Linked DNA regions of Canis lupus familiaris. The protein of the gene in region 2 interacts with the protein of the main gene of each other region in a biochemical or structural test. Links are inferred from orthologs where the notes say so. Each region holds a gene or a part of one and is shown on either strand. Other genes may lie near its edges. The genes, in order: ARIH1, CCNE1 and CDC25A.

Region 1 (3,646 bases), on a different chromosome or scaffold from region 2:
TACAAAAACTTCTAAAGAAGAGTACTATGCCTATTGCAGTAGTGCTCAATAAAATAAACTTGAACACTAAAAAATAAAAAAAATAAAAAAAAGGCATTCAGGGGGAGCAAAACAAAGAAAACTCCAAACTCCCCAAACAACCCAAAACCCCCCAAATGTTAACTGAGGTAAAGGTAAAACAAAGTCCTAAACTATGTAAGCTTACTTGTTTTGCTAATGCTGATGCACCTATTCTTATCACAGTTTCCCTAAAAAAGGAAAGAGTTTACTGAAGGAAAATACCAACCTTTGTGTTGGCTGCAATCCAATTAGAGGTTTCACTATCATCATCACACTTTTTAATCCACTTCTTTAACCACTGTTTGAAAACAACAACTGTTAGGGTACAACAAAAGACTTAAGAAAAAGGATAGTAAATTACTTCAACATAAGGATAGTAAATTACTTCAACATTTAAATACAGTCAAGCTTAAATGTAAAAGGCAAAGGACAAGATTATCACTGGATTTACTTCCTTATAAACCAAGGGAACCCTATAGTTCTCATATCCAGTATATATAAAATCAACCAAAGGAAGACTTTCTCTGGAGCCAAGTGGGAACCCAGAGCTCCAAGATGTGCCATTTCCCCTGAGCTAATTACAAAGCCTGCCCAGAGAGGTTCCTTAACCACTGTTATCCTGATAATCATTAGGATCGGACTTATTCCTATGGAATGAAATTTCAAAAATTTCAAAAATTCAGATGATCATCTGAAATAAAAAGGAAAAACACAATCTTCTATCTACAAGTGGATAACAAAACTGTGGGCCCTGGTTTTCAGTCATCAAGTCTCAGAAGTGTTTTATTACGTTATTTAAAAAAGAAAATGCCAGATAAACTCACCTTACATTTAACAGGATCGTGCCAATTTTCTCCACAGTTAAAGCTGTTAAGTAACACAAGAGTTAAAAGAATTAAGTCCTACCTACTGTACGTAGTAAACAAATCATTTCATGTTTTATAGTTTCTCAGTGGTTTCATAGTTTCTAGTGACTGGCAAATACAAGGGCAGGAGTCAAGTTTTTATTATTCCACCACAGATTATTTAGAATTTAGTGTTAGGATACCATTATCGTTGTGTGTCTGTGTGAAATGAAGAAATGATTATAGGCATGAAGACATGCTATGATGATAATTTTATAAAGACTCTCTAAATAGCCACCAAACTGTAAAGACAAAAAATTCAGTTTAATCAGATCTGTATTTTTTTTTAAGATTTTATTTATTTATTCATGATAGTCACAGAGAGAGAGAGAGAGAGAGAGAGAGAGAGAGGCAGAGACATAGGCAGAGGGAGAAGCAGGCTCCACGCAGGGAGCCTGACGTGGGATTCGATCCCCGGTCTCCAGGATCGCGCCCTGGGCCAAAGGCAGGCGCTAAACCGCTGCACCACCCAGGGATCCCCAGATCTGTATTTTTCTGATCATTTTACATATGTATAGTTTTGTGCTGTAAACATTCATTAATTGAAACCAAATAATTTTCACTAATTTGAACTTAAATTTCAATCAATGCTTTATTAGAATATATTAAATCTCTTATTTAACACCCCAAATGAAGAGAAAAGGTCTGACTTTGTAATTACGTAATTTAATGCTAATGCACAGTGAGCAATATTTGAGAAGCAAACAGGTCACATTTGCATGATCCAAACAAATTAACCTCAGTCCTATAAATTGTACCAAGCAAGGTATAAAACAAGAGTGTGACTAAATATTTCCTAAGAATATATTAATTGTTAATTCCTTTCTGTATTCTAGAAGCATGCTATATACATTTAAGAAAGTATAAATTAAGAATAAATACAAATGTTTATGAAAAAAATAATTGCTGAATGGCTGATTAGCTAAGTAATTCAAGAATGGCAAAAATCCTTTGCAAATGAGGGGAACAAAGTACTATCAAGTGAAGTCAAGGATAATGGGGGGAACAAAGTACTATCAAATTAAGTGAAGTCAAGGATAATGGTTACTTCTGGAAAAGAAGATAGGGAGTGGGATGGAAAAGGGAACAAAGGAGCTTCAAATGAATGTGTCATGTTTTATTTCTTAACGAAAACAAGATACTAACATTGTCTTAGCTGGGTGGGTTTGTAGCTATATAAGTATTCACTGCTGTTATTTTCTATATTTTGGTCTGTATCAAGGTATTTCATACAAAAATGTTTTAAAGTAGATACAGAATCAGACTTTACCTCCTGTCCATAGGATAAACTCTAAAATAGTAATGTATATTTAATCTTTACCAAAATAGCATGTATTTCACACATATTTCATCTCTGTAAGGTTATCTGCTCCTTTTTGGAAATATTTAGTATTAATGATGTGTAAGTCTAATTCTACAGTTGCTTGTGGAGGAAAAAAAGAATGATATGAAATACCAATATGTCTGTTTGCTAGTTCTTAGAGCTACTTGGTTTGATTGGTTTCTCATTCCTGAAAGATCCACAGGGAAAATGGAAAATCATTTTAACTAATACAAATACGTGGTACTGGAAATTCTCTAGTACTAGAAATTCTCTATTAAGTCAAATCTAGAATTCAAAGACTGAAGAGTATGTTATAAACTCCACAATGGAGGTCACCAGGAAAGCTGGGCCAGTAAAGCCACAGGGAAAATATTGGTTGAAAAGTATATCTAATCAACCATGTTCTATCTTTACAAATTTATCCACACATTTTCCTTCTAGGAGTAAGATTAAACTTTTCAGAACAAAGGAAAAATAATCCTCTGTATTTTGTTTCCTAAGAGATAACTTGAAAACAGAGCAAGAGCCATAGAGGAACTAAACATAATAAAATAAGCACTCCATCAGAAATGAGAACTAAACTCTTGTCCCGTATCTGTAAGTTTGCTCCCATATTAGTTCCAACGGAGCACACAAGAAAATGTGATTATAGCTGCATTCTTCTATGTACTATTTCAATTTAGGAAATCACATGCTTACCAAAACTGGCGCCCACATTTGCAGCGAACAGGTTTAGCATCAGGATATTGGACTTTAACAACATGGTGGCAATCTGGGGCAGGACACCACTTTAACAGTCGATTGCACTGAAACCCAAATTAGAAAATAAATACCGACAGCAAATTATATCATGATGCAATATTTCCTACTACAATAAGCAATTATTTACATTGCTTCCCCAGTGTAAGGGCCAAAGACAGAGACACAAGCATATAAAAGACTGTCCCCAATATTTAGTAGTCTTCTAAAGTAATGCTTTTATTTTAATTTTATTTATTTATCCATAGAGACAGGGGTGGGGGTGGGGGAGGCAGAGACACAGGCAGAGGGAGAAGCAGGCTCCATGCAGGGAGCCTGATGTGGAACTCGATCCTTCGTTTCCAGGATCATGCCCTGGGCTGAAGGCAGCTCTAAACCACTGAGCCATCCGTGCTGCCAAGTAATGCTTTTAGATGCAGTTTTTCCAAGATTACAGATACCTTGAAAATCTGGTTTTATAAGTACACGAACCGTGTCTTGGTTCTACCTTCAAAATCCTAATGACAAGCTTTAAAATAATTACCCATTTGTGATCATTAAAAAGTATCAATTTGTTTATGGTTCTTCAGGGCAATTTTCAAAGATGTGAGAAATCAAG
Region 2 (4,338 bases):
TACAGTCTCCAGCCATTTCTGGAGGTAGGAAGATAACGCAAGGTTTTTCTGCTAGGAACTGCTGATATTGTAACGATATCACGAGCACGCAGGAAATTTGGCGGCAACTCCATGACGGAGAGACAAGAGAAATGGACTAGTCAATTTAAAAAATGTGTTGAGACACAGGTATCGTGACAGAGAATGTTCCACTGATACTCTGGCTGAGGCCAGGCAGAGCCCCGGACGGCAGTCCTCATCACCGTAGGTAACTGCAGGACAGGCTGAGGACCTCCAGAAGGGGGGAAGTTACATACCTGCTGCTCACCGTGTGGTGGGGGGAAGGGAGGTCCTTAGCACCAGGACCGAAAGACAGAAGCGGGGACGGGGAGAATCTGGGTCGCTATGGACACACACAAACCCCCGCATCACAGTCGCAGGAGAGCTCTGTGTCAGGAGCCCTCCCCCAGTTCCCCCGCCTGGAGACAGGGCTCCGGGATGGACTCCGCCCTTGGCTTGCACAGGACTCTGGGTCACTTTCTTGCCCTGAGTCTGAGTTTCCTCAAGGGCAAAAGGAGAGGACTGAGTTATTTGATGTCCACTCTGGTTCTTCGGGACATCAGCGCGTTATCTGTAACCTCGGAGGTGCGGGTGAGGAACCCAACGCCTTCCTGGGGTCCCACGGCTGGCCGAGGCCAATGCCACCGACCGGCCAGGCCTCGGCCCATGGATGAGCACCATGGCCCCCGGTAGAGGAACGGCTCCAGCAGGAGGCAGCGGGGACCGAGCGTCCATCTAAAGCACAAGGCGCAGCAGGCCCTCCGCCCAGGCCCGGTGGGCACGTGAACCTACCTGTCCGCCGCACTGGCCTCTCGCAGTCCTGTCAATTTTTGCAACTTCTTCATCCGGATCCTGCAAAAACTAAGGGAGGGCGACCCCCAGCCCCCAAGGAAACACACCAGACGGCCCAAAGACAAAAAACACAGAGAGAGGAGAGAGAGAAAGGTGGTTAGGCTGCGGGCACCCCAATCAGTACAAGGAGGCAGGGCCCCCGGGGTGGGGGGGGGAGCCCCGCCAGGTAAGGCCCGGGAGGGGGTCTCCTCCCCCACCTGTCTCCTTTGTACTCACAACGGCCACATTTGCCTTCCTCTTCCTGGAGCGCACGGACACGTCGGTGCCAGCGTCGTCCTTCATGGGGTCCCGGTCCTGCGCATCCCTGCGGGCCGCCGGGTGGCACCGAGGTCAGGGCGGGCGCTGGCAGCCTGGGCTCCCCTCCCCCCGCCGCGCAGCCACGGGGCACTCACCTCTCCCTCCTCTCCCTCGGCATGGCTGGCGCGGCACGCGGGGCCGACCTCGGGCCCTGGGGGCACAAGCCGGGCGGGGGTCAGGGCGCGGGCGGGGGCGCGGGCGCGGGGGGGGGCAGGGCCGGCCGCGCGCCCCGGACACCCCTCCCCCCGCGCGGGCGGCGGCGGCGGCGGCGGGAGGCTCGGGCCGGCCGGGAAAATGGCCGATGGGCCCGGGGGGCCTGTCACCCGCCGCGCCGGGTCCGCCGCGCGCCCGGGGCCCCGCCGCCCCCCGCCCCGCCGCCCCCCGGCCCGGCCCGGAGCCACCCCGCGACCCCGCCGCGCCCTGGCCCGGCTCGCCCCCCCCCCACGGAGCCCCGGAGCACGGCCCGGCCATCACCGAGCCCTGTCCGCAGGCGGGCGGCGGGCGGCGGGAGGCGGCGCGGGAGGCGGGAGGCGGGAGCGGCGACGAGCGCGCGGCGGGGCGGGATCCGCGCTGCCCCCTACACCGCGCGGGCGCCGATCCGGCTGCTCCGCGCCCGGCCGAGAGCGGCGACATTAAAAATCCCTGCGCGCCGGAAACCGGCCCCCGGCCCGCCCTCGCACCCTCCCGCCCAGCCTCCGCCCCGCCCCGGTCGGTCCGAGGGCCCTCCAGCGGCCGCGCCCCAGTGCCCGGGCCCGGCCCCGAAGCCGCCTGCAGGCCGCCGACGCGCGCAGACGGGCAGAGGCGCTACGGACGGGGGGGCGGGGCCTGCGGGGGCGGGGCCTGCGGGGGCAGGGGCCTGCAGGGCGGGGCCAGCGGACTGGGCCTGCGCGCCGGAGGGCCGGGGCGGGGCCTGCGGGGCGGGGCGGGGCCTGCGGGGCGGGGCCAAGCCACGGGGCCTGCGCGGCGCGAGGTGCGGCGCGGCGCGGGACGCGGGAGGCCGGCTGGCGCGCGCGCGGCGGGGGGCGGGGCCGGGGCCGGGGCCGGGGCTCGGGGGGCGGCGGGGGCGGCGGGAGGCCGCGTGGCCGGCCCGCGGGGATGTAAACACGGCGCGCGGCAGGGTGCGGGCCGGGCCGCGGGGGCTGGCGGGGAGCGGGGAGCGGGGGTCCCGCCGGCCGTCGCCCCGCCGCGCGCGCTGCCCCTCCCGGCACGTCCTCCCCGCCCCCGAGACGCAGGGTTCCGGGCCGGGAGCCGGGGCGGGCCTGTGCCCAAGGTCACCGCGCCTGGTCGCGGGCCTACGACCTGGGCCGGCAGCCGCGGGTCCGGGGCGTCCGTGGGGCGCCGGCTGCCCTGCGCGCGCCCGCCCGCCCTTCCGAGCGCGCATTCGCCCTGCAGCCACTCGTTGAGCTGACCTCCCGGCGCCTCCCCCGTGGGCCCCTCCCGCCACCTCCGCGGCTGGGGCCTCGGGGCCCGGGCCGCCCCTCTGGCTGAAAGCCCTCCCGGTGGCTCCCGTCGGGCTCCCGGGCCGGGCTGCAGGGCTCCCCTGGAGCTCCGTCGCCCGCGGACCCCCGCCCCACCCGGTGCCCTCGCAGCCGCTGCCCCACGTCCTCCCCCACGTCCTCCCTCACCTCGGCGGGAGCTGCCCTGCGCTGCGCACTCGCCCTCGGGGCTGCTCTTCCCTCCCTAGAACTTCAGGGTCTCCGGTGAACACGGAGTCTGGAGCACCCCGCCCCCCGCACTTCCTCTCCACCTCCTGCCCCGCTGTGTGTCCTTCACCCAACTTGCCGCCAGAAGCCTCGTGCTCCTGGGTTTCCCTGGTCGCTCGCTGTCCCTCTCCCTCCCGGGAGTTCCGGGCTGCAGCCCCCAGCTCTTGGCAGAGTCCCGGGGTGCGGGTGCGGGTGGGGGTGCGGGTGGGGGAGGGAGACACTTGCTCATCTCTGTGGGTGAGTTGTTGAGAAGCATACAGCCGCCAAGTCCTTGTGGACCTTCCAGGACAACGAGACCATCACCTGAAAGTACCTTGTGAACTAAACTTGGCAGAAGCGGCAGGTCCCCATGTCGCAGGTCCCCATGTCGCAGAGGGCTCCCAAACACTCCCAAGACCCTTCCTGATGCACTGTTCCGCCCCCCCCCCCCCCCCCCCCCCCCAAGCATAAGGATCTTCTTGAAGTGAGAGCCTGGGTCTGATTGAAGAGTGTGCCCTGTGTCATCCCCGGAAGTCCCTGCTAGCAGATGTCGGCCTTCCAGGGGCCTGGAGCTGAAGGCTGCTGAGATGACTCACTCAGGTTATCTCAGGGAGACATGAATGCAGGCTCCTGAGCTCCTGGCCCGGTGTCCTTCAGTAATAACAATAAGAGGTACCACGAACAGCATTTCCAAAACGTCAGCTTTGGACTCAGTCCGTCAGAGTGTTCAACTTCATGATAATCCCATCATGTTGCTGCTACCATACTGCTATTTCAAAGAAGGCAACTATCTACTTCTTAGGGTGATTATGAGGATTGGGGTAACACAGCTTACAGGGCTTGGTGCACACTCAGTGCTTAGTAAATGAGAGATATAGGACAATGATAAATACAACATATGTTAGTATTACAGATATCAATATATATCATTGTTATCGATGATAGACACAGACTTTTCCTTAGTGATGGTAGCAACTTACTGTCCCACTAGCGAGAATGAGAGTTCCAGATGTTCTTTTTCCTAGCTGACGCGCTCATCAACAATATGGTCGACACAGAAATGTGGTATATTCATTCAGTGGAATACTGCACAGCAGTAAAAAGGACAGACCACTGGGGCATTCAGCAACATGAAGAAATCTCACAAAAAAAAAAAAAAAAAAAAGAAAGAAATCTCACAGACGTAACCGTGAGCACGAGAAGCCAGACACAGAAAAGTATTACTGTGTGATTCCATTTATTTGAAGTCTCAGAAAAGGCAGAACTATAGCGACAGTGTGAAACCAGCAGTTACTCCTGGGGTGGGGTTAATAACCGGGAGGGGACCGAGGGAACCTCCTGGGCACTTCCCATGTGTTCTGCTTTGATCTGAATGCGTGGTTGCGTATGTAAAAATTCATCGAGCTCTACATTTAGGATTTATGTACCTTCCTGAGTGTATGTTCATTTCAAAAATAAAAATAATTGT
Region 3 (3,616 bases), on a different chromosome or scaffold from region 2:
GTAATTGGTTGTGCCAACTTCATCTTTTAACCAATAAAATAGTGTTGAAATACAATAAAAGGGTACATTAAATACAACATTAGCATTTGCCAGTGTCTTAGTAGCTTTCAAAAGTTCCGAATTCATAAATACCACTCCTGTCTGCCATAGTCATAACAGAATATGAGGTGCCCAATTATAGGTGACTCTCACAGAAGAATCATTGGCAAGTATGTTATGCCCAGGTTCCAAGAGTCTCTGGTGCCTTCACAGGGTGCAGTGAACTTGCACATGGAAGAGGAGGTTGAGGACTTCTTACTAAAGAAGCCCATTGTACCTACCGATGGCAAGCGTGTCATTGTCGTGTTCCACTGCGAGTTCTCTTCTGAGCGAGGCCCTCGCATGTGAGTACTGCATGAAACTGGGCTCTGCGGCTCAGGCCTGCGTTGACTGGTGGGATGTGGCAATGGATGGCTCACCCTCAGGGCGTACTTCAGTATACCGAGCAAGCACCCTCTCCCACATCCTGAATCATTTCCATGCCTTAGCCTGCGCACATGACTTGTAAATGTTCACTTTTGTGAAATTTCAAATTCATGTGTAGCAGATGTGTGCCCAAATCCTTATCTATTAAGCAGTCAATTTGATGAACAGCTTCCTTGAGTATGGCTTTTTATAGGCTTGACCTATCAGTTTCTGTGGCCAAGGGCTTTAGGCCTTCTCCAGCCCAGCCCTGTCTCTGGCTAGTATGGTAGGTGCTGGGAGTACAGAGGGCCAGCTGGAGACGGGGGTGAGGGCTGAGGCAGGGTGGAATGCAGCCTTGATTGGGGTAGGACAAGGTAGACTTTTCATGGGCCCCTAGGCCTGGATCCTTGTGCACTTTTCATTTTGAACCAGTTCTAAAGTCAGGCCACACGGGGGCGCCTGGGTGGCTCAGTCTATTAAGTGTCAGACTATGCTAAAATTGTGAGATGGAACCCTATGTGGGCTCCATGCTCAGCGGGGAGTCTGCCTGAGATTATTTCCCTCCCTCGGCTGCCCCTCCTCCCTGCTCGCACATGCTCTTGCTCAAACATAATCTTTTTTTTTTTTAATTTAATTTATTTATTTAATTTTATTTTATTTTATTTATTTTTTTTATTTATGAGAGACAGAGAGGCAGAGAGAGAAGCAGGCTCCCTGCAGGAAGCCCGATGTGGGACTCAATCTGGGGACTCTGGGATCACGTCCTGAGCTGAAGGCAAATGCTCAACCACTGAGCTACCCAGGCGTCCCTCAAATATAATCTTTTTTTTCTTTAAGAAAAGAAAAAGGCCATTTGCCCACATGTGCTTCACCTGACTTCATCAGCAGCTTCTGTTTTGCTGCATTAGCACACATAGAATTACACACATAACTACAACAGGAACTTGTCTCCCCACCAACCTCCTGAGGACAAGGACTTGTCCTACATTAAGCACAAAACTGTGATCACATGAAGGGGTAGGATTTGGGTGAGGACTAACGTTCACTCACTCTACAGGTACTTCCCATTGCCTCTCACATGCGAAATAGTGTTCTGATTACTGTGGAGAACAGCAAAATGTAGGAGAACAAAAAGCCCTGCCTTCACGGAGCTTGCATTTCATACTGGGCAGGAGCAGACAAATATAATAAATAATATGTTAACTACTCTGTGTTAGAAGGTATTTCAGAGACAAATAAGATGAGAGGTGGGTGCTCCCAGGAAGTTTGGAGGAGCAGCAAGGGGGCCAGAGTGGCTGGAGTAAAGGCTGATGGGGGAGGAGGCAGGGGCAGGGTACCCAGTTGGGGGCCACTGTAAGGATTTTGGCTTTTGTACCAAGGGTTGGTAGGTAAGAAGCCACTGCCAGGTGAGGGTATTAGTGAGAGTATTTAGTATTCCATGCAGGAGTACAAGTAGGTGCCTTGAGGCAGGAGCAAGCTCGGCTGGGTGGCTGGCTGGCTGGCTTGTTTATTTATTTATTTAAATTTTTGATTTATTCATGAGAGACACACAAAGGCAGAGGCAGAAGCAGGCTCCCTATTAGGAGCCCGCTGAGGTACTTGATCCCAGGACCTTGGGATCATGCCCTGAGCCAAAGGCAGACACTCAACCACTGAGCCACCCAGGCATCCCAAGCTCTGCCTATTTAAAAGCCACAGGAAGAAAGCAGCTGGCTTAGTTAGGAAGTGAGGGAGGGACCCTAGTGGTGAGGAGCTGGAGGGTGTGGTGAGCGGAGATTGCAATGGGGAGCCGTCACTCCACATGAGGTGTGGGTGGTAGCATAGAGGACCTTGGGCAGGGGCCAGACAGTAGGGCCATTGAACCTGGAGGAAGGACAGCTTGGGAGAGACCATCCATCTCCCTATGAACTCTTCCTAAAGACCACATGTGGCCTGGGACCCACAGCTCAATGCTGGTTTCTAAGAATGACTGGGAAAGTGAGAAGTTGTGTGTCAGGAGTATTCGCTCGGCACTGCTGTGCTCACCGTACCGTTAGTTCGGGTTGCCCCAAGTTAGGAGAGCTAACCTTGCTCTGGCCTGCCTCCTCGCTGCTAGGTGCCGGTACGTGAGAGAGAGAGATCGGCTTGGTAACGAGTATCCCAAACTCCACTACCCGGAGCTGTATGTCCTGAAGGGCGGGTACAAGGAGTTCTTCCTGAAATGCCAGGTGAGGCAAGGTCTCTGGAGAGCACGGTGCACCCCTCACCCAGGCTGGATGGGCAGATCCGTGTGCTTGTCGTGGCTGTCTCTTGTTCGGGGTCTGGGGATTTGCCTCACACAAAGAAGGGTCCTAGGCCCTGCTGCGCATCCCAGCCTCGCAGGCCCAGATGGGGGGAGAGCCGGCTTAGGAGCGTGAGGCATGGGCCCCTCATCTCATCCTCTGTCGTCTGCAGTCTCACTGCGAGCCTCCCAGCTACCGGCCCATGCACCATGAGGACTTCAAAGAAGACCTGAAGAAGTTCCGCACCAAGAGCCGGACCTGGGCAGGGGAAAAGAGCAAAAGGGAGATGTACAGCCGTCTGAAGAAGCTGTGAGGGTGGCCATGCCAGACAGCAGCAGCCTGAGCTGCCCTCTGTGCCTCCCCCCTTCCCTCTTGGCTGCAGAGAAACCTGAGCAAAGGGACCAGCCACGGGCGTGACATGTGGAGAGAGGACCCGGGGCTTGTGCGCCTGACCCCTACTGCTGCACTTGCGGGGCTGGAACATCCTGCCGGCCACGCCTCTTCTGTCTCTGTAAGACCTTCTCCTTCTGCCTTGTGACTGTCTGCCAGGGCTGTCGCCTGCCACAGTGCAGTTCTGGGTACCACTTCAAGAAGTTCTGACTTACCACCACCACCACCACCGTCGGACAGACCACCTGGGGCCTTCCTGGGTGCTGTTCTCTGGGGGGTGGTGGGGGGGAGAGAAGTCCACGAGCAGAGATGCTGCTGGCCAAATACCAAAGACAGCCTGGGAAGGGAATGGTCTTTGTGGGATAACCCATATCTTTAATTTATTCAACTTCATCAATCACTTTAATTTTTTTTTTTTTTTTAAACTCCTGGAGACTTTTATTTAACTGCTTCTTTAAGTCATAATACTGCCATTCTGGGTAGGGTTTTATCATCCCAGGGACTACCTCTGCTTTAAAAAA

What was found.
Region 1: of the proteins of CCNE1 (region 2) and ARIH1, one has a biochemical effect on the other in vitro, tested with the Homo sapiens proteins (3 studies listed by BioGRID). The link is inferred for Canis lupus familiaris from reciprocal best matches to the Homo sapiens genes CCNE1 and ARIH1.
Region 3: the proteins of CCNE1 (region 2) and CDC25A form a complex in vitro, tested with the Homo sapiens proteins (2 studies listed by BioGRID). The link is inferred for Canis lupus familiaris from reciprocal best matches to the Homo sapiens genes CCNE1 and CDC25A.

The regions. Positions count from the first base shown.
Region 1 is NC_049251.1:36,458,468-36,462,113, reverse strand, and holds part of ARIH1 (E3 ubiquitin-protein ligase ARIH1), read right to left. Parts: intron 3,096-3,646; coding exon 2,989-3,095; intron 928-2,988; coding exon 885-927; intron 359-884; coding exon 287-358; intron 1-286. UniProt on the Homo sapiens protein: E3 ubiquitin-protein ligase, which catalyzes ubiquitination of target proteins together with ubiquitin-conjugating enzyme E2 UBE2L3.
Region 2 is NC_049222.1:122,576,660-122,580,997, forward strand, and holds the start of CCNE1 (G1/S-specific cyclin-E1), read right to left. Parts: upstream 2,887-4,338; 5' UTR 2,814-2,886; intron 1,680-2,813; exon of another isoform or gene 1,663-1,679; intron 1,340-1,662; 5' UTR 1,307-1,339; coding exon 1,284-1,306; intron 1,196-1,283; coding exon 1,108-1,195; intron 901-1,107; coding exon 832-900; intron 1-831. UniProt on the Homo sapiens protein: Essential for the control of the cell cycle at the G1/S (start) transition.
Region 3 is NC_049241.1:41,252,383-41,255,998, forward strand, and holds the end of CDC25A (M-phase inducer phosphatase 1), read left to right. Parts: intron 1-252; coding exon 253-383; intron 384-2,539; coding exon 2,540-2,651; intron 2,652-2,877; coding exon 2,878-3,018; downstream 3,019-3,616. UniProt on the Homo sapiens protein: Tyrosine protein phosphatase which functions as a dosage-dependent inducer of mitotic progression. Directly dephosphorylates CDK1 and stimulates its kinase activity. Also dephosphorylates CDK2 in complex with cyclin-E, in vitro.